Linked DNA regions of Arabidopsis thaliana. The protein of the gene in region 4 interacts with the protein of the main gene of each other region in a pairwise test. Each region holds a gene or a part of one and is shown on either strand. Other genes may lie near its edges. The genes, in order: MPK18, AT3G16560, MYB3 and BRX.

Region 1 (6,309 bases), 8.5 Mb from region 4:
TTAGGACATTTCAGATCAATTAAAATAGAATGAAATTTTGATAATTAATTAAGTATGTGTATAAAGAAAGAAATAAATATATTGCATCGTTTTCCAAATTATAGTGATTGACGAATAAAATATGATTTTCCTTATTTTAGAAGGTTAATCGTGGTATTTAATTAAAACACCTGGTTTATTTATGATATAACGTAGACATGTCAGTTCAAATATTTAATTAGTTGATTACAAAGATAAGTACATGTCAACCTAAAATTTAATATCATCATTTCAACCCAAAAAAAACCTGAGATTATATATAACGGATCATTCAATGCAAGATGCTTAATGCCACCGTCACGTAACGAAATAATTGATTTGCTTCCTTTTTGGTTAATAAATATTAAATAGATCAAATGTGTACACTTTCTCATGACTTGTTAAATTGAGAAAGTGATATTCGTTATGATTAATGGACGCCTAATATTACCTTTAATGGGCTAAACTCAGGCCTACAAACTTGGCGGGTAAATTATAAACATTTCAACGGCGTCAAAATTTCGAAGTTAAGGCGAATTTCATTGTTAACCATGATGAGTCTTGAGGTCAAGAGCATTCCTTTTTTTCATTGGCAAGTTTTTTTTTTTCTTTTTGTAACCATTGAATAAAATTGACTAATTATATAATCTGAGAAAGAGTGGTTTACAGAAGAAAAATCTAAGGACCAATGTTTTATTTTGTTACTTCCACATTCTTCGGCATAATGTTGTCTATATTAACCAATCAAGACCATATTTTCCAATAACCAAAGAGATTCCTTTTTTTGTTGAAGAACAATAAAGACTAATGGGACCGATTAAGAAGTTTAAGAAGTATATAATCACCACGATATTCTTCTCTACGGTGAACTACGCTTATGGCAAATTCAAAGATTATGGAGCCAACAAGATAACCGAAACAATAACCGGGACTGACCCGCAATCAGACTAATCCAAGGCGATCTTGTTCTGGAGAGTTACAACTAAATAAAAGTCTTTCTTATATCATTGCAACGTAGTTCATATCAGAGCCTGGACTGAATAATACTTACATAAAAACTAGAGAATCACCTGGTGGAGGAAGATGTGGTGGTTAAAGATCTGTCTGAAGTGTTGTCTATGATGCTGCGCTGTAACTAATTGTGCCTATGTTCCGGTGTGCTGCTACTGCAACCGCTGCAGCTCCTGCTGGACCAAACTGTGATTGTGCCTGCAACAGCTTAGCATCAATGGCCATATGTGTGTTGTTGTTTAATTGATCTGTCTTCGGGAGCTGTGGTTGAAAGTAAGGGTTTGGGTGGTTCATAGTCTCAACGTCTGCTTGGTTAGTTGTAGCAGCTGGTGGCTCAGTGGGACTGAATTGGTGGACAGGATTTTGTGGCTTTGGTGGAAAAGACGAAGCTTCTATGTTGCGGTTCTCCGGGTTTGTCATGGTGTTTGGTCGGAAGTAGCAATGAGGAGATGAAACCGCGCTTCTGAAATAAGCTTCTTTGAGGTTCCTGCCATTCTCATAAGATACAGATGATTCCACAACACGACCTGGTCTACCTGTAAAACATAGGGTGAAAGTTAGTTGAAGTTTCTAACTTTAGGAAATAATATTTGGAGATATGATTGAGACCTGATGGTGGAACTCTTGGTGGAGGTCCGATGGATTTAGTAGGATACGCGGAAGTTGATGGATGTCCTGCAGAAGAAGCTCCATTTTTTGAAGGCTCGAAAGAAACACGTCTACTATCTGTTGCACCCAAGTTGGGTTGCGAGGTGGAATGGACTACAGTTGAGTGAACCGTAGACCTGTGGAAAACAATCATATCTATTAGAATTAGAAGAGTAGAGAACATATGAAAGTTTTTAGAATTAGAAGAGTAGAGAACATATGAAAGTTTGCTTGAGGCCTTCGACCATATGCTTCACAAATGCTAAGCAGTAGCAGAAGAAAGAACAAAAGAATAAGCATATTCCCTACAGTCGACTTGTATATAAAGAATGAGAAAACATACCGCGGTAGTGATGCGTGTTTCCTCTCGAGAGGTATGACCGGCCCATTTCTACTGCTATTTTCCTCTAAGTAAGTGAACTGCTGTCTAAGATGTCCAATGGCGCTGCAAGTGAAAAAGTAAAAACATGAATAAAAAGCCAGGCAGAGGTACGCGATTGGACATAAATTCAACGGGAGAAAGAAACAAGAAATGTTTCATTTGGTAAATAATAATAAAAGGTAGGAAGAAATTCAAACCTAGGATATACAAAATTAGACCCCTCAGATCCGCTCATATAGTCCTTGAGCAACTGAGGATGGTACTCCAGTATTTCTCTGTATATTAGTTCTCTAATGTCGTCCTTTGTCAACCTTCGCCTCTCAAATTCAAACTCCATTTTCGAGATTTGCTGACTTGAAGGTTCTCTTTCAATCTTAGAAAGACCCTTGAAGTAAGGATCAGCTAATGCCTATCGAAAAACAAAAAGATAGCAAAGTAAGCAGAGAGATACACACAAGACGCAAGGCAGCTTTACAAAGAGGACCGAAGAAGAATCTAATTACAAAGTGAAAAAGACAGAAAAGAGACCTCTGCAGGAGTCGGTCGATCCTTTGGATCGAAAGCCAACAGCCTCTGCAAAAGACGGAGTGCTAATGGATCTGCTTTGGAAAATTTTTGCGAGAAGGTGACAGGATTTTTCTTCCTCATTTCAGTCAAGTATTTTCTAGCTTTATCATTACGAACCTGCATCAGAGAAATAAATGTTTAGCTATACAGTTCAATATATATACGTACTCCAGAAATTAATGTGAAGAAGAAAAACGGATCATACTCCAGAAATTGTTTCTGATTTTGGTGTGCCAAGAAGATCAGTAATCAACTCCAACTGATGGACAACACTTTTTCCCGGAAACAATGGCTTCCCTGTTAGTACCTCTGCAAAGATGCAGCCAATGCTCCAAACGTCGATAGCTGGAGTGTACTGCAGAATAATTTTGACTGTAAATCAGATTATGATGAAAAAACAAAATCCATGAATATGAAGTTGCAGATGCAAAAGAAACCACTCAATGAACATAACCTGATACAAGGTTACCTGATTCATAGATTTTCAACTTCGGGGAGAGTTCAAGTCATCCCTGAACAAGAATTATTTTAATATCCCACTGGGGCACAACTCTATACTTATACAAGTAACATCAAATATCAGCTATTAACACTAATCTGCATATATTCTACACTAAAGAAGACTAATCTGTTCATAAGACCTAAGCATAGCCAATTAGAATGCATAGAAGAAATCCACAGTAACACCTACCTTCGAAAAGAATGATCCACAGAGCTCAGGTGCTCTATACCATCTTGTGGCAACATAGTCCTGCATTGCGATTAAATGAGTCAGAGAGAAAAATCAAACACACAAATTAACGGCTAACAAACAAAAGGTCTCCTCCTCGAGGCTACTAACCGTCCAAAAGACTGTCGTAGGAGTATCATTAAACGCTACTCTAGCCAATCCAAAGTCACAAACTTTCAACTTGCAATTTGCGTTTGCAAGTATATTCTTTGGCTTAAGATCACGGTGATAAACATTAGCTGCATGAACAAAAGGATAACAGTAAGTTACAACCAGAAAAAATACAAAACATGCTGCCAAGATTCACAGGTCTGAAACAATGAAACGAATCACACCTGTATGCATGAACTTTAAAGCACGAAGCATCTGATAAAGGAAAAACTGGTGGTGTTCACGAGTCAAATCATCATTAGCTTTAATAACTTGATGAAGATCTGATTCCATGAGCTCAAACACAACATAGATATCTTTAAACTCTCTCTTAGAAGGAGGCAGCATAATGCTTTTGATCTCCACAATATCAGGATGCCGTAAAAGCCGAAGAAGCTTCACTTCACGGAGAATACGAAGCGCATCAGAAATATGTTCAAAGACATCATTAATCTTCTTAATAGCAACTTTCTCTCCAGTATGTGTATCAATAGCTGCACACACAACTCCATAGCTTCCTTTACCAATAACTTCCAGAATCCTATATCTGTTTGCATCACCATACTCTGTGAAAAACTCCATCTCTTTCGTGCCCTAGTGAATCACAAAAGTAGACAAAACACAAACTTTATCCACACATCTTATTTATGCTCATGCAACAAAACCAAACCTAATTGCAATTGAAAAAGGAAAGATTTTATTTTTTTTGTCTTTAAATTTGTAAAAGGATAAGACTTTATCCTCTGTTTCCCACATTTAGAATCAAAGCATGATTGAGAGAGATAGAGAGCAAGAAGCGAACCTTCTTCACTTGATTTTGTTGCATCTTCTTCTTCAAAATTATCAAAAATCTGGATCGGCTTTTCGAAAAGTAAAAAAAAAAAAAAAACCTAGATTGCTAAGAATCCGAAAACTAGAAGAACTCAAAATCAAGCCCAGTCTGTGAAGAAGACGATACAGAGAAGAGCAAAACCTAGATCCAGCGATCGAAGAAGAAGAAGACGAGAGAGGATTTTAAAAATACCGAATTTGAGATATTTTTTCTAAATTTGAATAAAAATAATTTCTAATTCTAGCAATTTCTCGTGGTACTTATTGCGTACGGGTGTGACAAATCCCAGATAGTGGCAGTTTCGTAGTTTTAGACAACATTTGAGGGTAAAGTAAATATTGGTTTTCTCCCACTGTGGTCTGTGGACGACCTTTTTGGAAAATGACCCAATGGTTTAGACACCTGTTGCTGGACTTGGACCGTTTTATTTTTCTTAAATTCCGATTTTGACCCCTATCTTAATTTTGTTTTGATTCTAACCATTCTTTTTGATAAGTGGTCAATTTAACCCCCACGTGATAGTATTTCTCGTACCACTGAAAGGAATATTATTAACATTATCTCAATTTTGCTTATTATATTCCTTGATTTAAATTTTTAAGATTGAAAAATCTATATACAATTGACTAATTCATATGTAAATAAATATTGTTGAAGGATATTTGTCTTAGATTTTAATTTATTTTGGTAAAGACGATACACGATTAATATATTAGGATAAAATACCATCTTTGATGAACATTTATTCCATGTAAATCAACTAACCTTGAGAAAAAGACCTTCCAAGTGTCAAGTTGTTTGCTTGATACTATGGGATGATAAAAACAAAATCAAAAGAAAAAAAAAAACTGCCATCCTCATTGGTATATGACTTAGTATTTGATAGAAAATAAAATAAAATAAATAGATTAATAATTTTGCAATTCGTGTGAAACTAATATTCACATGTCAATTTACACAATTTGGCTTTTGTATTTATTGAAAAGACCAACATATTTAGTGTCTGGCTCATATTAAAAGTTTATCACAATAGGGGCAAATCCACAAAAAGGTGAAGATTATGATAATATTATAACTGATCTTGATTAAAACAAATCCAACATCTTATTATTCATTTGTATCTGAGGCATTCAAATCCAAAGTTGGTTCATTATCTAAAGTACAAAATATCATAATTTCAAATTATCATACTCCATATAATTTCACACTATACGACGATGTAGGTGGTGCATGTGTCAATTTATTGTCAATATTTTAAGGCGTTATAACTTATAACTAAAGTTGATCCTTTTTGCATATTTCATTGCTTTTCATTTTCTTCTACTTTCGGTTTTAAAATCATAATTTTACTCTCTTTTGACTAAGTGCGCATTTTAAAATAATTATCGGCCAAAGATAAATATAAATGATGGTTGACTGGTTCTATCTATTTAGACCAGGCTCTGCATAATATATATAACCAGCATATCTATTTTTAAAATAGTTTTAATGGTTTTTCAAAATGATATATATAATATTTTGAATTGCAAGTTTAATAATTCGAAGATATATATATATATATATATAATCATGAGTCAGAATTCAACAGAGTGGACACAATATTACCATTCATCACATGAATCATGCTTTTCGTGTATGTATGTTTTAGAGTTTTGACTGGAGGAGCCAAAATATCTCCACCAAGCAGATTTATTTTGTTTGTTTATTTATTTGAGTTACATCTTATTAAAATTCCATGAACCATATATAATGATAGAAGAAAAAAGGGATCACCCATAAATAATGATAATTTGTGCACAACTATATATTATTGTTTTCTTAACTTTTGGTTGCCAACAACTCTATATTATTAGTGCAAATATAATAATGTTGATGAATAAAAGACAATGCATCCTAATAATAAACCAAAATATAATGTGTAAATGTGGTCCAGTGAGAGAAGAAGTTGCATGTGGTAAAGGGCACACACCA
Region 2 (5,503 bases), on a different chromosome or scaffold from region 4:
TCAAAACCTTAAAATTTGAGGTTTCATTTTTTATTCATTTTGGTCCTTACAAATATTTATGTCTTACAGATACTCTTACTAATATATTATTCTATCATATTAGTCCTTAAATTTTTATGTCTTATTTTGATGTATGGAGAGGAAGTTGTGTGGATTAGCTTGTTGACTTTTCCATCAAGTAACTTGCCAAAATTTTGTGGCATTAGTTACTTTATCTATGACAAGACCACCCTAATTATGTGTTGTGGTGACGATGAAAGTCGAACGGCTTGCATCTATATTTTTGAGGGGAGATTTGTTCAAGAAGATTCAAATTGACTGGGTTTTTGTTTTCCCGGTGTTGTTACTGTGCTTATCCTCCCAATTTTATCCCGTTCCTTTAGGTTCATATTGCAAGCCTAATAATTTTATCGGATTTTCTTGAATCTTGTTCATGTCTCTGTTTTCTTAGGTTTATTACCATTGTAAGATGATAATATATAGACTTACTATCTCAAACATTGATGATCAACACACTTTCACTTCGAACTAACCAAAATGTTTGTAACCATTGAGTCAATTTTACAAATATACGTAAGACATATAAAGTTGTGAACAATAAGGTGCTTATAGTGTGTCACATGATTAAAGATCATCGTAGGCCACCCACATTATTTCACTAGTAGTTAGCCCATTGACAAAACCGATTCAGTCTATGTTAGAACTTAAAATCCAAGGTAATAAACCAAACCAAGTAAACACCCAAAAGCCCAAAAAAATAAAAAACAGAACATATGACTCAGGCTGAGACAAACTGATGAATTCTAGGCTCGCAACTAAGACTACTACAATGATATATATATACGGACTATACATGAAATAATATTATACCAGTTCCAAAGAATTGAAAAACTGATGATCAGTTCCAAAGTCTAAAAGAAGATCAGTGAGACTAATTACAATTTTACCAATCCAACATTTGTCGCCATCATCATCAAAATCACACGAACGTAGAAGCTTTTGAGGTACGTTGATCGGTACCTAGAGTGATTACCATTATAGTCACATCGTCATGATATCTCCTTCTCCTACCAGCCGGAACATTCGTCAATTCTTCCAAGGTAAAGCCTACATCAAAGTGTTTTCTTTTGTCATATAGTAGATCATGAAGTCTGCACACATTTTGTGAAGTAAACATTAACAAAAAAGCATCTTACCAGCACGAGCAGCAGCTTTAGCTACAAGACGTTCAAGCAGAAACTTTGCTGGATCACCAGAAGGATTACTAGAAACGAAGGAATGGACGAGCCCAATCGCTTCCTCGTTGCTGAAGAAATCAAACAAACCATCGCTTGCAACTATAACAAAGTGATCTGATTCCGTTATCTTGTGAACTCTCATCGATGGTTCCACTGAAACATAAGGCGGGCTCAAAAGGTTACGAACGCGGAGGATCCCCATGAGTGCATCATTTAGTTTCTCCTGCAAGTTAATAGAGAAGAGCTACTTGATACTTTTTCTTTCAAGTATAAAACTCATAACTTAAAAGAATAATACTAATACCTTCTTCAAGTAACCAACTCCGAGAGCACGAGTAACTTTAAGCTTTCCTTTGATTTTCCCACCAATAACGATCTTAGGATCATCAAGATGCTCACTTAAGAGTCTAGCTTCTTCGACTTCGTTATCAACTGTATGATCCTCTGTGAGCTGAACAGCTTGCAGCTTCTTATTACCATTGTAGGTCGCTAGAACAGCTCTGCTATCACCAAGATTAAGGACGTATAGATCCTTCCCAACCAGGAGAGTGACCAAAACACAAGATCCAACGGATACTAAATCCGGTCTTTCTTCCATTTCTTGCTCAACCATCCTTAGGAAATCGGTTTCCGCCTGAAAAAGCGCACGGTTCAAGCAATCTAGTACTCCTTGCCTGAACAAATCAGTGGAAGAGTAATCTACATTACTTATATTTGATAACAATTCCAACTTTTCGCCATCATCATCGGACTTTGTTTGCTTCATTTGACGATCAAGCAACTGAAGATGAAACACAATGGACTCATATAAAGTACATGCCAAGAAATCAGCAGCATCTCTTCCGTTGAATCCATCATAGATAGCGCAAAACAACCAACCATTCTCCTCAGAGCAAACAGCTTGAACTCTATCTTCCCCTGCAGCACCACCCGCAACTTGAACTTCCATAGCAGAGAGAAGAAACCCTTCATTAACAGAAGAAGGAGAACTCATTGACGTCAAGTAACAAGATTCAGGCTCAGGAGGACTCGGACTAGTAGACGAGCTGCAGCTTAGACTCACCATACTTCCATGGAGAGAAGGAGAGAGTATATCAAGCTTCGAAAGCGCAGGCGAAGACGGAACTTTCCTGAAAGATTTCGGAGAATCCAGAGACGGCAATATCTCAGAACCAATGACTCCATTGCAGATATTAGTATTGGCTAAAGTGGGGTTTCCACTTAAAGCAGCTCCTGATAAACAAGAGAAACTGCTAGTCTTTTGTAGCCTAAACCCACCAAGAACCTCACGACCATCAGCAATTTTATCTTCAGGGATTCCTATCTTCTTATTATTGCATTGATAACCAAAACTTATCTCAATCTCACCATACGGATCAGTCCCTTCCTGCATTTTTTTTCTTCACTTTCTTGCAATGTTCTGAAACAACAAAAATCCACAACAAAACCATAAAGTTTAGTCCTTTTTTTAACTTGAACAATCCTAATGAAATCTTAAGACTAATACAAAAACCTCACACTTCAAAAAAGTTAGCTGCTTTAATGACCTTAGAGACAAAATACGTGGTGAGAGTCTAAGCACATATCGAAAGTGAAGATAGATGGGGCCAAGGTAACGAACAGTTACATAAGTTAAACGTGAGAGTTAAGAAAAAAATGATATTTTTCATAGGAGGCCATTAAATGCAGACCACAGAAGTTGTTGGGAAATGTTTCAGATAGAATGTTTATACAGAGATAAACTAACTAAAAACCCAGAAAACACAGAGAAACTTATAGATTTGGTATCATCAAAGTATTCACCGTGACATGTGTTCATATCTATATGGATTACAACAATATATGGATATATCAAAAATTCCATTGATAAGATAAATCAAAACTCGCAAACCAAATTGAAAAGATTAAATAAAACAGATTATCGGAACGAGACATTGGGGATGTTATTGATGATGAGAGAAATGGGTTTACCTTAAACGTATACGGGGATGGAGAAAACCAAAGAGAATCGAAGATTCGTAGAACTGAGAAGAAGCGAAGCGAATTTAGAGAAAAAAGAACAAATCAGAGGAGACGACGACGACGAATAAAAATGAGTGAGAGAAAGTGAAATTGGATGGAGGAGAAGAGTTAACGAGTGAATGTTTTTTGTTTGCTAATTTTGGTAGTGTTTATTATATAATCGAAAGCCCTCTCCTTTATAATGTTTTTTCACACTTTTCTTCTCTCTGTCTTTTTCGTTTTTGATTCGTTGCTTTTTCAGCTTCTTCTTTTTTTGTACATCTTTTAAATTTTTTACCAAAAACAATGATAATGCTTAGTTTTTTTATTAGTATCTTGGTTGAAACTACAGAGGTCAATTTGGGTATTCTGAAATTTTCTTGCTAAGATACTTTCAGATATTTTTGGTAGAAAAATTAGAATCTTTTGTTTTGGGTGGTGTTGCATAAGTAGAAGAAAAAATGTCTATCTACAGAGCAAAAATTCATAACTCGTCAGAAAGAAATGATCAACAAGATATTTAATTAAACGAGTAAATAGAAAAATCTATCGACGAAAGTGAAAAACGAAGATAGGGTCAACAATTCAAGGCAATAAGTGTGTGTAGTTGACATTTTATCCTGATGATGTCATCCTCAGATCTCTACCGGTAATGTTATATTTTATTCATCTCTAGCTCTATTATTTTCTTGGACTGCTCAAAGAACCAATATAATACGATTATAATTTGGCAAGAAGGGCTTACAAGGAACATTAAATTTACCCATATCTTCACTATGAATCTTTTTCAGAAATAATATGATTTATTTGTGATAGATGTAATCGTGTAATATCTTCTGATCGAATTCAGAGTGGTAATTTACTATGCAATTTATTTTTTACGGACAACAGGATAAAATAACCCAAAAATACATGGTGACGTTTTACAAAATCTGATCTTTTGAGTACTAGGCTAGTACTAGATGTCGACGTAGCGTACCATCATAGTTGCCGCAAACAGAGACGTGAGGAAGTAAATTAATAAGTAGATACAAATAAATAATTTAAGCTGTAAGCAAAAAATCGAGAATGTTTAAGAGTTAGGTTGCATGACGTTAAAGAAGGGAGCAGATCTAACATTTTGCATCTCTCACCATATATTATAGAGTTTAATAATCGAAAGTTGTTAAATCATATCAAGAAGCAACACGAAAAGTATTAAACAATAGCTAAAGACGCAATGAAAAACGTCTATAGTTTTGTACCATTTTTTTTTATCTCGAATATTGACTTGGTGAATTGAGCTAATAATCTAGCTTATAGCTTTCACACCTGAAAAAATCAATTTCGATTTTTTGCATATTCAGAAGGTCCCATAAACCGTGACCGGTACAGCCTTAACCGGTGTTATTCATCAAAAACTCACCGATTGATTCGGTTTGGAAAAACAAAATTTACGTTTTTAAAACCGTTGATCGCATACATGAATGTTTTTGCCTACCTAAGGTTAATTAGTAAGTATACTAAGTAAATCAAACCGATGCATGAATAAAAATCTAGGACCAAATGACCGGTACGATTCTACAATACCAAGAGTCAATATATTAATACTAATTAAGAGGCTGAGTGGAAGAAAATATCACATCAATATCATATATCATATACGACTTATCAATAATAGAGAGAGTCGTTTAAGAGATTGATAAATACCCACAAATACTGATTTGTGGCTGTTGAGGCACAGGAGAAGCTGCTTGCTGTTGAAGCCAACTGATGAAAACAGTCGTCCTCACTATCATTCCCTTCCTGAAAATGACATTTGATGACAATTCTATAATTTCCATTTAGCTTACGTACCGGTTTTTGGCAGTTTACAATGAATAGGATAGATCTCGGTTTGTCTTTATCACCGCGATTTTTCAATAATCATTACACAATTTCTGCAAGCTGTTGTGTTATGTGTATCTAATGAAAGCTCCTAAGTCTCTTAAATCACATAACCTGGGATTATTTTCTTTGCGGACATCTTATCGAGACAGTACTATGTATAGACGAGGGACTAATTATAACCAAGGATTGTTCAGGGACTGACAGTAAAAACTACGGCGGTTTAAGACTAAGAACTAATGGGACTACTTATATATATCGTTATGAAATAACGGTATCAACACGAAGTGAGTGATGAGGATTACCTTGACTTATTGTATATCTACCGTATAGAAACTGGAACCCATAAGAGTTTCAAGATGCAATGGTGTAGAAAACTTTCGTCATTCCTTTCTTTG
Region 3 (3,907 bases), 3.4 Mb from region 4:
ATGTAAGTGGATTAGTATGTTAAAATCAAAAAAAAATGAAGAGAAGACATGCGAATAGCCAAAAAAATAGGCAAGAACTAAAAAGCACATACAAAAAGTGACGACACCAAACCAAACATCATTTAGGTATGGTTTTAACGTCTGCATCAAAGTTGCTCTGCGTATTATCTGCTTGAAATGACTCATTCAATAGTATAATCTAATTAATAGGAACACTTCAAATAGGTGAAATTTGACATCGAATTATATATTGTCTCCACATTTTTAAGTTACATGGCTTGGAATTATTACATATTTTCAGAAACTATTTGTGACGCAAAAAAATGTGATTTCATGATTTCATCGCTTGAATTTGGTAATTTCATTAAAATTTACATTTCACTGAATTTAATTGACATACGTAAATTAAAAAATGAAAACATTAATTCTACATAGAAATTTGAAACCAAAAAAAACTCTTAAAACATATGACGTATATCATATAACAAGATTAATCACAAATAAAATGTAGTATTAAATTAATTAGTTTGCTAGATTATGAAATTATAACATTTATAAAAATTACCGTTTTTTAGCATCTGCAAGTACAACATGCCCTAATTGTTGTTTTTATAAATTTCTTTGAGCACAATCTTTTGGCTTTGCCATCAAATAATTATGCTAGTTTCTTACTTGATGTTACATAACAAATGTGAACAAAAAAAAAACACAATTGACGATCTAAATATATAAAAAGATTCCTAAAGAATTCTCGATTGACTCTCTAATGAGTTCTAACATCAGAAACCCGACAATTCCGACACGACTCATTACGAAACAACCCAATCCGACAACACAAACACACCGCATCACTCTCATGAGCTCCAAACAACTCGGAACCCCACCGTCGAGTCGACTCAGCCGAGTCAACAACACTCACTTTCCGAGTCGACTCGTACCGATAACTCGGTCCAACAGAGAGTTCCAAATTCAACACCCAATCTTCCTCGTTCCCATAATCCTTCTCCGACGTCGTTCCACTACTCTCACAATTATTAACCATACCAATCTCTTCACGCACCGGTTCCGGTTTAACCGGTCCAGAGAAATCAAGATGTATAGTCTCAACGACATCGTTTTGAAGAGACGACGGAGACACGACGGATTCGTTGATCAGACGGTGAGAGTTTGGATCAATCCCACGGCTGAGAAGCTTCCTCTTGATATGAGTGTTCCAATAGTTCTTGATCTCGTTATCTGTTCTTCCTGGTAATCTCCCAGCTATTAAAGACCATCTATAACAACAACACAAAGTTTCAGAATCTTTCACAAATATAATCATATTCTTAAAAAAGTGTGAGAGAAAGAGACTAACTTGTTACCGAGCAAGCTATGGAGCTTGATGATGAGTTCATCTTCTTCTTCAGTAAAATTGCCTCTTTTGAGATCTGGTCTTAGATAATTCATCCATCTCAATCTACAACTCTTACCACATCTTTGTAATCCTGCACAAAGTTCAATCAAAAATCAAATCTTTACCTCTCTGTAAATATAAAGAAACAGAGGATGTATGAATAAGTACCAGCGGCGCGAGGGAGAGATCGCCAGCAACCTTCACCGTGTTTACGGATGTAATCAACAAGAAGCTGATCTTCTTCTTTAGTCCAAGCTCCTTTGTTCATGTGAGCTTTCTCGCAGCATGGTGATCTTCCCATCTTTGTTGATCTCTATATGTATATATGTATCTCTCTACGTGTATTTGGAGGAAATAGTGTTTTATTTTTTTTGCAAGGAAGAGAGTTCCTGTAGGATGGTGTTTTCGTTTTGAATGTTATTTATAATAACTACCTAACATTATTTTAATACCAAAGTTAAAAATAAAAATGTATCTAACAAATGAAATGATGTGTTCGTTTTTTTGTGCCTAAAGAATATTGTAACACCAACCAGAAAACACAAATTTGATTGTAGTACACTCACAGGAGGAACGTGGGTGGAGTTTCCTAACTTTTTTTGTTTTTTGTTTTCTGAGATGTAGATCGTACGGTTTTGGTTATTGACTTTTTGGCTCTTTAGAATCATCTCATCTGCTCAAAAAAAATATCATAATCATTTTACAAATTCCACAATTCATTGCAACATGTACTGTTTTTAACCATTCTTATTGCATATAAAAAAATATAGTCACGCGTAACTTTCGTATAAAAAGATCGATTATAAAAGAGAAAATAACTAAATAACGGTTTAAGTAATCACTAATCAGTTAGTGAATAAAGTGTTTTTAACATCATCAAATTTACTTCTTAGTTTCTGTAACGATTTTGTAAACTCGTTTTAATATCAATAAATTTGTTTAGCGGAAAATTAAACCAATTTTTTTTGCATTATTGAATTAAACAATTGTTTACTGCATTATTAACAAAAAAAAGTACTTAAACCTAATTTTGGGAAAATGTTAAAAAGAACAAAAAAAAAGTAGATCTGGGAGAAAGTAGGTAGATAGATTGGGAAGATGAGTAGGTAGCTGTCTTTTTTCATCTCTCTCTTCTCCAATCACTCTCTCCACACGCTACTTCCTTCACGTACCTCCACGTGTCCTTTCTTATGATTTTATCACATTCCTCTCTCCTTTGTCTCTTCAATTATAAAAACATGAATATTATTTAGATTAGTTGGATAACTGAATTATTGGGTTTGGGCATGTGTACTTGGTCCTTCTTCTACTGTTGTGTCTCTTAAGTTTTTTTTTATATTTTATTTTCGGATTTCACATTGTAACGACGGTCCAATTAAAGAATACATTTTTAAAATGAATTTACTAGTAACTTGTAAGGTACTTAAATGGTATCAATCAACATTGGGATGATTTTTCTTGGAAATTGGAATAACGTCGCTATAACAGGCGATTAGATAAATTAGTCGCATAGAATCGTATAAATGTTAAATGTTTTTGTCTCACACGCCCCATACGTATTTTAGTCCTTTGCACTTTTGCAGAAGTTATCAGAATTCTTTTCAATATTTAAAGAGGAGTTGAATTTTACAACAGTGATGTAATTCTATCTAAAGCTTAATTTCATAAGTTTATTATAGTTCTGTTTTTCTTTCTCAATCGTAAACATTTTTTCTTATATAGAAAACCCCGTACAATCTAACTACTATTCAACGTAATTTAACTACTGTTCAATCTTCAATGTTTTGTCATAAGCTAGTAATCTATGCTTAATTAAGAAAGAAACATAAGAAGAGTCATGAGCGGATGGGCCTTTTGTTCATAGCATTGTATTGGTCATGGGCCATTACTTGCAAAGCCCAACATGGCTAACCGCAAACAAGCTTCTAATTTCATCACGCTACGCCAAATGCCAAACATTGTTGTACAACACTTCTACCTTCTGAGTCTTCCTGACTATTGGCTAACATGAACTACGACGTTCAAAGAAAGGTTCTTCGGAGGTACACTGATCGATATGGAATTGGAATCGAAGGTTCCCTATGCACAAAAGAACATGGCGAAAACACGATTCAAAAAAACATAACGTCCGAAGCGCAACTAAAACTTAATATTTCGTGTTAAAAGCCAACTAAAAGTTACATTTCCGTTTTGTAAGCAGAAAGTGTGACTATTTTATGTGTTCTTAACAATATATCATTTTTTTTTTTACTTTGTTAATATCACTTTCTCATTTCTAAACGCTTTGTAATATTCTAGCGAAAATATAATTTATTAATGATTTTTATTTTTACATGCAAATTATACGACTGAAATGTTATAGGAATAGAGACATGTTTGTATCACAAAATTAACTTATGTAGGAAAAACAAATAGTATAAGTCTATCGTTCCCCTCTCTGTTCAGGCGTCAAGCCTCCCTTGCCACATTTAGGACAACTCTTCATACCAAATCCTTGACAATCAAAACATCTGC
Region 4 (5,115 bases):
AATCAGTTACCAATAATTAGAACCAAAGTCAAGATTGAGCTTGCATATAGGCTATAGCAAACATCACACGAAATATAAAATCTTGATTTGGACTAACAAATATTTCACGACAAATTAAGAAACCATATCGCAACATAAAAGAGGCGGCTCACCTTTTGAACGAACGATACGGACACAAGAGGAGCGGATAAATCCGACGACCGGGAATCATCAATGGATTGATAGTTTTCGATGTCCAAGACAACGGTTTGTGTCTGAGTAGTAATATCAGAAATCTCAGCCATTGATGGAACTATGGTGACTTTCCTCCAAGTTTATGGTTTTCTCATCTAAAAACTCAAATGGTCAACTCTACTTTGTATTCGTTATAACTTATAAGCAAATAATAAAGTTGACTTTTTTATTCTATAGTCTATACCGCATGTTGATAAATTCTTTTAGGTTCATAGTTGACTTCTTTATCTTTGTCACAAAACACACGACATGGTTTACACGATAGTTATAGACTTATAATTATATGTAAATGTAATCAGCTTTGATTAGAAATGATATTTCAAAACACTTAATTTATGTATAGATGTTAAGCTAAGATGAACAAAAAGATAAGCAAAATGTGTGTAGTTTGTGTTGTTATGTGAAGGAGATTAATTAATTAATTAAAGATTTTGGTACTCATAATATTTCGTTTGCTTAGAGGTACTGTGTTTGTATTCTCTCTCTGTTCTGCTCCCACCATGTCTTTGCATGCACTTCCCCAAACCGTTCCCGGCTGTTGATTAAACCACAAAACCATAGATTCCGGTTAGTCACGGTATGATTACCAACTTTCAAAATGTATATGATTAGCAAATGCTTAGTTTTAGACGTTTTGTTATACCTGAATCTGACTCGACGTAGCTCTCTAGTCCCATCTGATAATTGTCTGATGGTAATGTAAACACCAGGCTCGTCCTCTTCAATCCACTCAGCTTGCATTTCACTAGCATTGCTCATGGAAGGTGGATCATCTCTGGAAGAAGTTGTGGTTCTTGCTGCATCCATCGGTGGTCCTCCATGATAACTTCCTGGTCCATAGTTGCTAGAGCCGCCATAAAAGTGATGCGGGACAGATCCTGGAGGTCTGAAATTGTGTCTTGGAGTCCAGTCTTTGCTTTCTCTTGCTGAATCCATCTTTGAGTACGTTGAATCTCTCTGTGACTGAAATATAAACTTGTGTTACCCTCTCTGGCTTAAAAGACAAGATTCATATAGATCCTGTTCTGAAGAAAGACTAAGGGATCTAAGGATATATGTGTTTACCTGATCGTCGGATCTTGCAGGCGTTTGGAGAGCTTGGCGGTTAAATCTCTGTACATTGTAAAGCTCAACGATCTTGTCATAGTTCTCACCCCACCACCGTTGAGCTTGCCACTTATCAAACATCTCTCGGCTTTCAAAACAAGACACAAGTAATTGTTAGTTTTTATCTCATGTTTCAGCGTTGAATGCCATGAAGATATAGAGATTGTTTTGAGTAGTTCAAATACCTGAAACGGATCCGTTTGAGATCATTTCCTCCAGTGGGAAGAGAAGCAAATGTGATATGAACACCAGGTTCTACTTGAGCCATCCACTCTTTTGGTCCATCATCATCCAGTACAACATCACAAGACTGTGCAGAGATAGATTCTCGATCATTTCCATATATTGAAGTGAACTTTGATTCTAACCGTCCAGCTGGATGATGAGAGGAGTTTGTGAAGTCCCAAGCAGGAGTTGAACCAGCACTTCCACCCATGAAAGGGTATGGAACACCTTCAGAGGCATTGTCATAATCCGGAAATGATCTATGTCCTTTCTTCAAGGGACTACTAGAGGAACCAGTGCATGGCTTGCATTGTTTATAAGCACCAGAGAATTTCAAAGCCATATCTTTAATCTGCGTAACATATGCACCCAAAAAGACCGATTACATTCAAAAACTTTATCTTGTTTATCAAAGTAATCCATTTAAACACACAAGAATGTTGAGTATAACGGTACACAAACATTATAGGTAGTTTCAAGCCTTTTTAAGTATGACTAAGTATACTTTTTAGCCCAATGAAGTAAAAAGAGGTCTACTATGATCATTATTAAAAGAACAACAATAAAGCTATGAGATCTAACATAATTAAACATATGTATTAAAAAAAGAAACTTCATATTGTCTTCTTAGCCTGCACCACAATCATAACGGCCCACTATTTCTTTTGTTTATGTTCTTTTGATTTACTAAAATAGTTACCCCCACCCCAAAAAACCCTTTCTTTATTTCCTTGTCTAGGTAAGAATCCACTAAAGCTTATTTGAGAGAAAGGTATTTAGATCAAGCTTCACTAGCAATATTCATCAAAGTATGACCCCAATATAAGCTTTAATGATAGTCCTGATAATTCAACTGGCTACATAATTCAAGGATATGTACAATGAGGGTTTAAATTGTTTCAGTAGTTGTTTTTGACTTTCATATGTCTAGTCACATAGAGAGGAAGCAAACACTGACATGAAAACTATTAAAGAGAGATTGGTGAAAGATTCCAAAAAATGAAGTGAAGTTACCTCATTGTAAGATCTCTGTCCTAAACAACAGTAACCTCTATATACTAATGACTTCAAACTCTATTCTTTGGTAAAGAAAACGAATAATAGTCAAATATATGGACCCTTTTTAAGTCCTCTAAGATACGTTAATTGGGGTTTGTGTCTTTGTTTGTTTCACGAGCAAGGCAATTAGAGAAAAGCAATAAAATAAAGTGAAAGAAAATAAAAGCAGAAGAAGGATCAACAAAGAAAGAAGAGAGAGACCTGAATGGTTAGGCTTTTGACGGCTTCTTTAGTATTGGGAGTGGTGCCTCCACGCGCTCCATGTTCGACTTCTTCACCTCCGTCTGCTTTGGTACAAGCTATGCAAGAAAACATTTTTGGTCTCTTTTTTGAGTTGTTCTCTGCCTTTTCAGACCTATAAAACCAGAGAGTACTCTATTAAACATCATCACAAACCAAACCTCACACTACTCTACTCAAATCAATAATAATACTCTACAAAACAAAACAAAAAGTAATTAAGAACGTTAAAGTAGAGCTCACTCTCACAATCCGACATAAAACACGGGTAAAGCTTATGTAATCGTAGTACACATGTAAACATTAGTTACAAGTTAGGAACATATAGCTAGAAAAGGGTATTTGGATTTCAATTGTCGTTTTCTTATAACGCAAAACACAAACACAAAAGGACAAAGTTGTTGACATATCTCTAGTCAGGAAACAACTACTCATGTTATAACAAAAAGAAAATGTAACTTGACTGGTTAGTAGTTTAACTCATAAAGAACCAATGCTAAATATTTCAAGTACTAAACCCATTTTTTAAAAATGGAAAGAAAGAAAAACAGTTTACATTACACCATGGTCGGATATTTGTGTTACCTATTTTAAGAGCGAATAAAAAAAGATGGGTATAAATTAGTGAAGAGATCTTGATAAAGACAAAAGTGTTGAAAGAGATATTAAAACTACATGTTACACTTTTCTTTATTAAAAAAAAAAAGATGTTATAACTAGAAAAGAAAGAGAGCTTGGGGATCAGAAAATAGGACCCAGTTAAGAAATACTAATATTTTAAAAATTAATTGTGCAAATCTAAACACCTGAAAATTGTATAAACACATTATTTACAAGTAATAATATATTCTAAAGACAATCATAATAGAGACAAATGCTTCTTTATTCTACTTTAAATAGTTTTTTTTTTTTGTTAAAGAATAACTTAATACTTTTGTGTGCAGCAAAAGATCCTAAACCCATCCCTCAACTAACAAAAGTTCGAAGAATAATTACATTTTTTTTGCAGTAGCCGAAATTTATGACATTTTAAAAAAAAATCAGATTATTGTGATGACTCAAGAGAATCAAATAATATGTTCTGATTCCGCGTGTTTAACATCGATCAAGACAAATACATAAGTAAAGAAGAAAACAATTGGAAACACTAGAAAAGCAAAACAAAATTGAAAAATATAACAAGAAAATGGAATCTTGACAGTCACGTGTTAAGAAAAAGAAAAAGAGATTGGTTTCTATTTTTAGGGTTTTGAGTGATGATGGACCAATCTAAAGCGTGTCGCGACATGAAAACTAAAACTATATCCAAAGTAAAAGATAAAATCGCAAAAACAATCACGAATCACGAAAAAAACTCTGTTTTGATATCAAAAGCAAAGGCAAAAACTGATACAAAAACCATTATTATTCTCACCTCAGAAAACGACTTCTTCTTTTTTTCTTAATCATTACAATCCAAAAAATAAAATTTTGATTAGTGGGTTTTGTTTATTACTCACTCACCTTTGTGTTTCGATATCTGAGAAATGAAGCGATATGATCTGAGATTATTGAGATACTAGATAGCTAGCTTCTGCTTTATTTTCCTCTTGAAGGCTTTGGTCTATTTAGGAAGCCGGCACGAGTGGGGTTAGTTCTGAGTCTACGTCTATAAATAGACCATCAATGGCTGCAGAGAAGATTAGTGTAGTAGTGTTACAGACAGTAATTGTAATAAATGTGTTACAAAAGGACGAAAACAATTTATGATACTACAATTTTGCTTTTAATGTTTTTGAGAAAAAATTCGGCGTTTTCTCAAAAAAGTAAAAGAACAATAAATACCGGGAAACTTTTGAATGAAAATGAAAATTTATATTAATATTGAAGAATGAATACACATTTTTCGGTGAAGTTTCTGATTTGGGTTTAGTGAGAAAATTTTGGTATTAATCAGAAAAAAATGACGAATCGAATCTGTCTAAATCAAATCAATCAAGTGACAAATGTTTGCAGAAAAAGGTAACGCAAAAAAAAAAAAAAAAATCTCTGAATCTTTTTTTTTCCGGGAAAAAATAGTATTGAAAAGATCGATCGGAAAAAAACCAGTGACTAATCGTTTCTACAGAAGAACAGAAACAGAGCAACGAATCTCTCTGTTTTCTTATTTTCCCGAGAAAAATCTTCAAAAAAGAGAATTTTTATAAACTCACCTGAAATGTCTTCTTCTTCGAATCTGATTATGTAATAAACTTCACTGAGAAAATCTCC

Evidence for each region.
Region 1: the proteins of BRX (region 4) and MPK18 interact in binary tests that used the Arabidopsis thaliana proteins (3 or more experiments, as listed by UniProt).
Region 2: the proteins of BRX (region 4) and AT3G16560 interact in binary tests that used the Arabidopsis thaliana proteins (3 or more experiments, as listed by UniProt).
Region 3: the proteins of BRX (region 4) and MYB3 interact in binary tests that used the Arabidopsis thaliana proteins (3 or more experiments, as listed by UniProt).

Annotation. Positions count from the first base shown.
Region 1 is NC_003070.9:19,969,827-19,976,135, forward strand, and holds MPK18 (mitogen-activated protein kinase 18), read right to left. Parts: upstream 4,568-6,309; 5' UTR 4,333-4,567; coding exon 4,309-4,332; intron 4,101-4,308; coding exon 3,692-4,100; intron 3,596-3,691; coding exon 3,468-3,595; intron 3,378-3,467; coding exon 3,318-3,377; intron 2,982-3,317; coding exon 2,832-2,981; intron 2,744-2,831; coding exon 2,588-2,743; intron 2,469-2,587; coding exon 2,257-2,468; intron 2,123-2,256; coding exon 2,021-2,122; intron 1,815-2,020; coding exon 1,639-1,814; intron 1,566-1,638; coding exon 1,135-1,565; 3' UTR 508-1,134; downstream 1-507. UniProt on the Arabidopsis thaliana protein: Mitogen-activated protein kinase (MAPK) that is specifically regulated by PHS1 and MAPKKK20 and mediates signaling that regulates cortical microtubule functions, maybe through regulation of microtubule dynamic instability.
Region 2 is NC_003074.8:5,635,072-5,640,574, forward strand, and holds AT3G16560 (Protein phosphatase 2C family protein), read right to left. Parts: upstream 3,728-5,503; 5' UTR 3,210-3,727; intron 3,037-3,209; exon of another isoform or gene 2,659-3,036; 5' UTR 2,632-2,658; coding exon 1,543-2,631; intron 1,462-1,542; coding exon 1,197-1,461; coding exon of another isoform or gene 1,177-1,196; exon of another isoform or gene 1,108-1,176; coding exon 980-1,107; 3' UTR 525-979; downstream 1-524. Other genes in the region: AT3G16565 (threonyl and alanyl tRNA synthetase second additional domain-containing protein), read right to left, coding at 5,460-5,503.
Region 3 is NC_003070.9:8,004,076-8,007,982, reverse strand, and holds MYB3 (myb domain protein 3), read right to left. Parts: upstream 1,920-3,907; 5' UTR 1,695-1,919; coding exon 1,562-1,694; intron 1,561-1,561; exon of another isoform or gene 1,485-1,560; coding exon 1,355-1,484; exon of another isoform or gene 1,322-1,354; coding exon of another isoform or gene 1,275-1,321; coding exon 764-1,274; 3' UTR 523-763; downstream 1-522. Other genes in the region: AT1G22630 (SSUH2-like protein), read right to left, coding at 3,816-3,903.
Region 4 is NC_003070.9:11,445,629-11,450,743, reverse strand, and holds BRX (DZC (Disease resistance/zinc finger/chromosome condensation-like region) domain containing protein), read right to left. Parts: upstream 3,458-5,115; 5' UTR 3,424-3,457; coding exon 3,422-3,423; intron 2,981-3,421; coding exon 2,827-2,980; intron 1,919-2,826; coding exon 1,527-1,918; intron 1,430-1,526; coding exon 1,300-1,429; intron 1,198-1,299; coding exon 878-1,197; intron 770-877; coding exon 691-769; 3' UTR 552-690; downstream 1-551. Other genes in the region: NIP3;1 (NOD26-like intrinsic protein 3;1), read right to left, coding at 153-284. UniProt on the Arabidopsis thaliana protein: Acts as a regulator of cell proliferation and elongation in the root and shoot. Regulates roots architecture and primary root protophloem differentiation.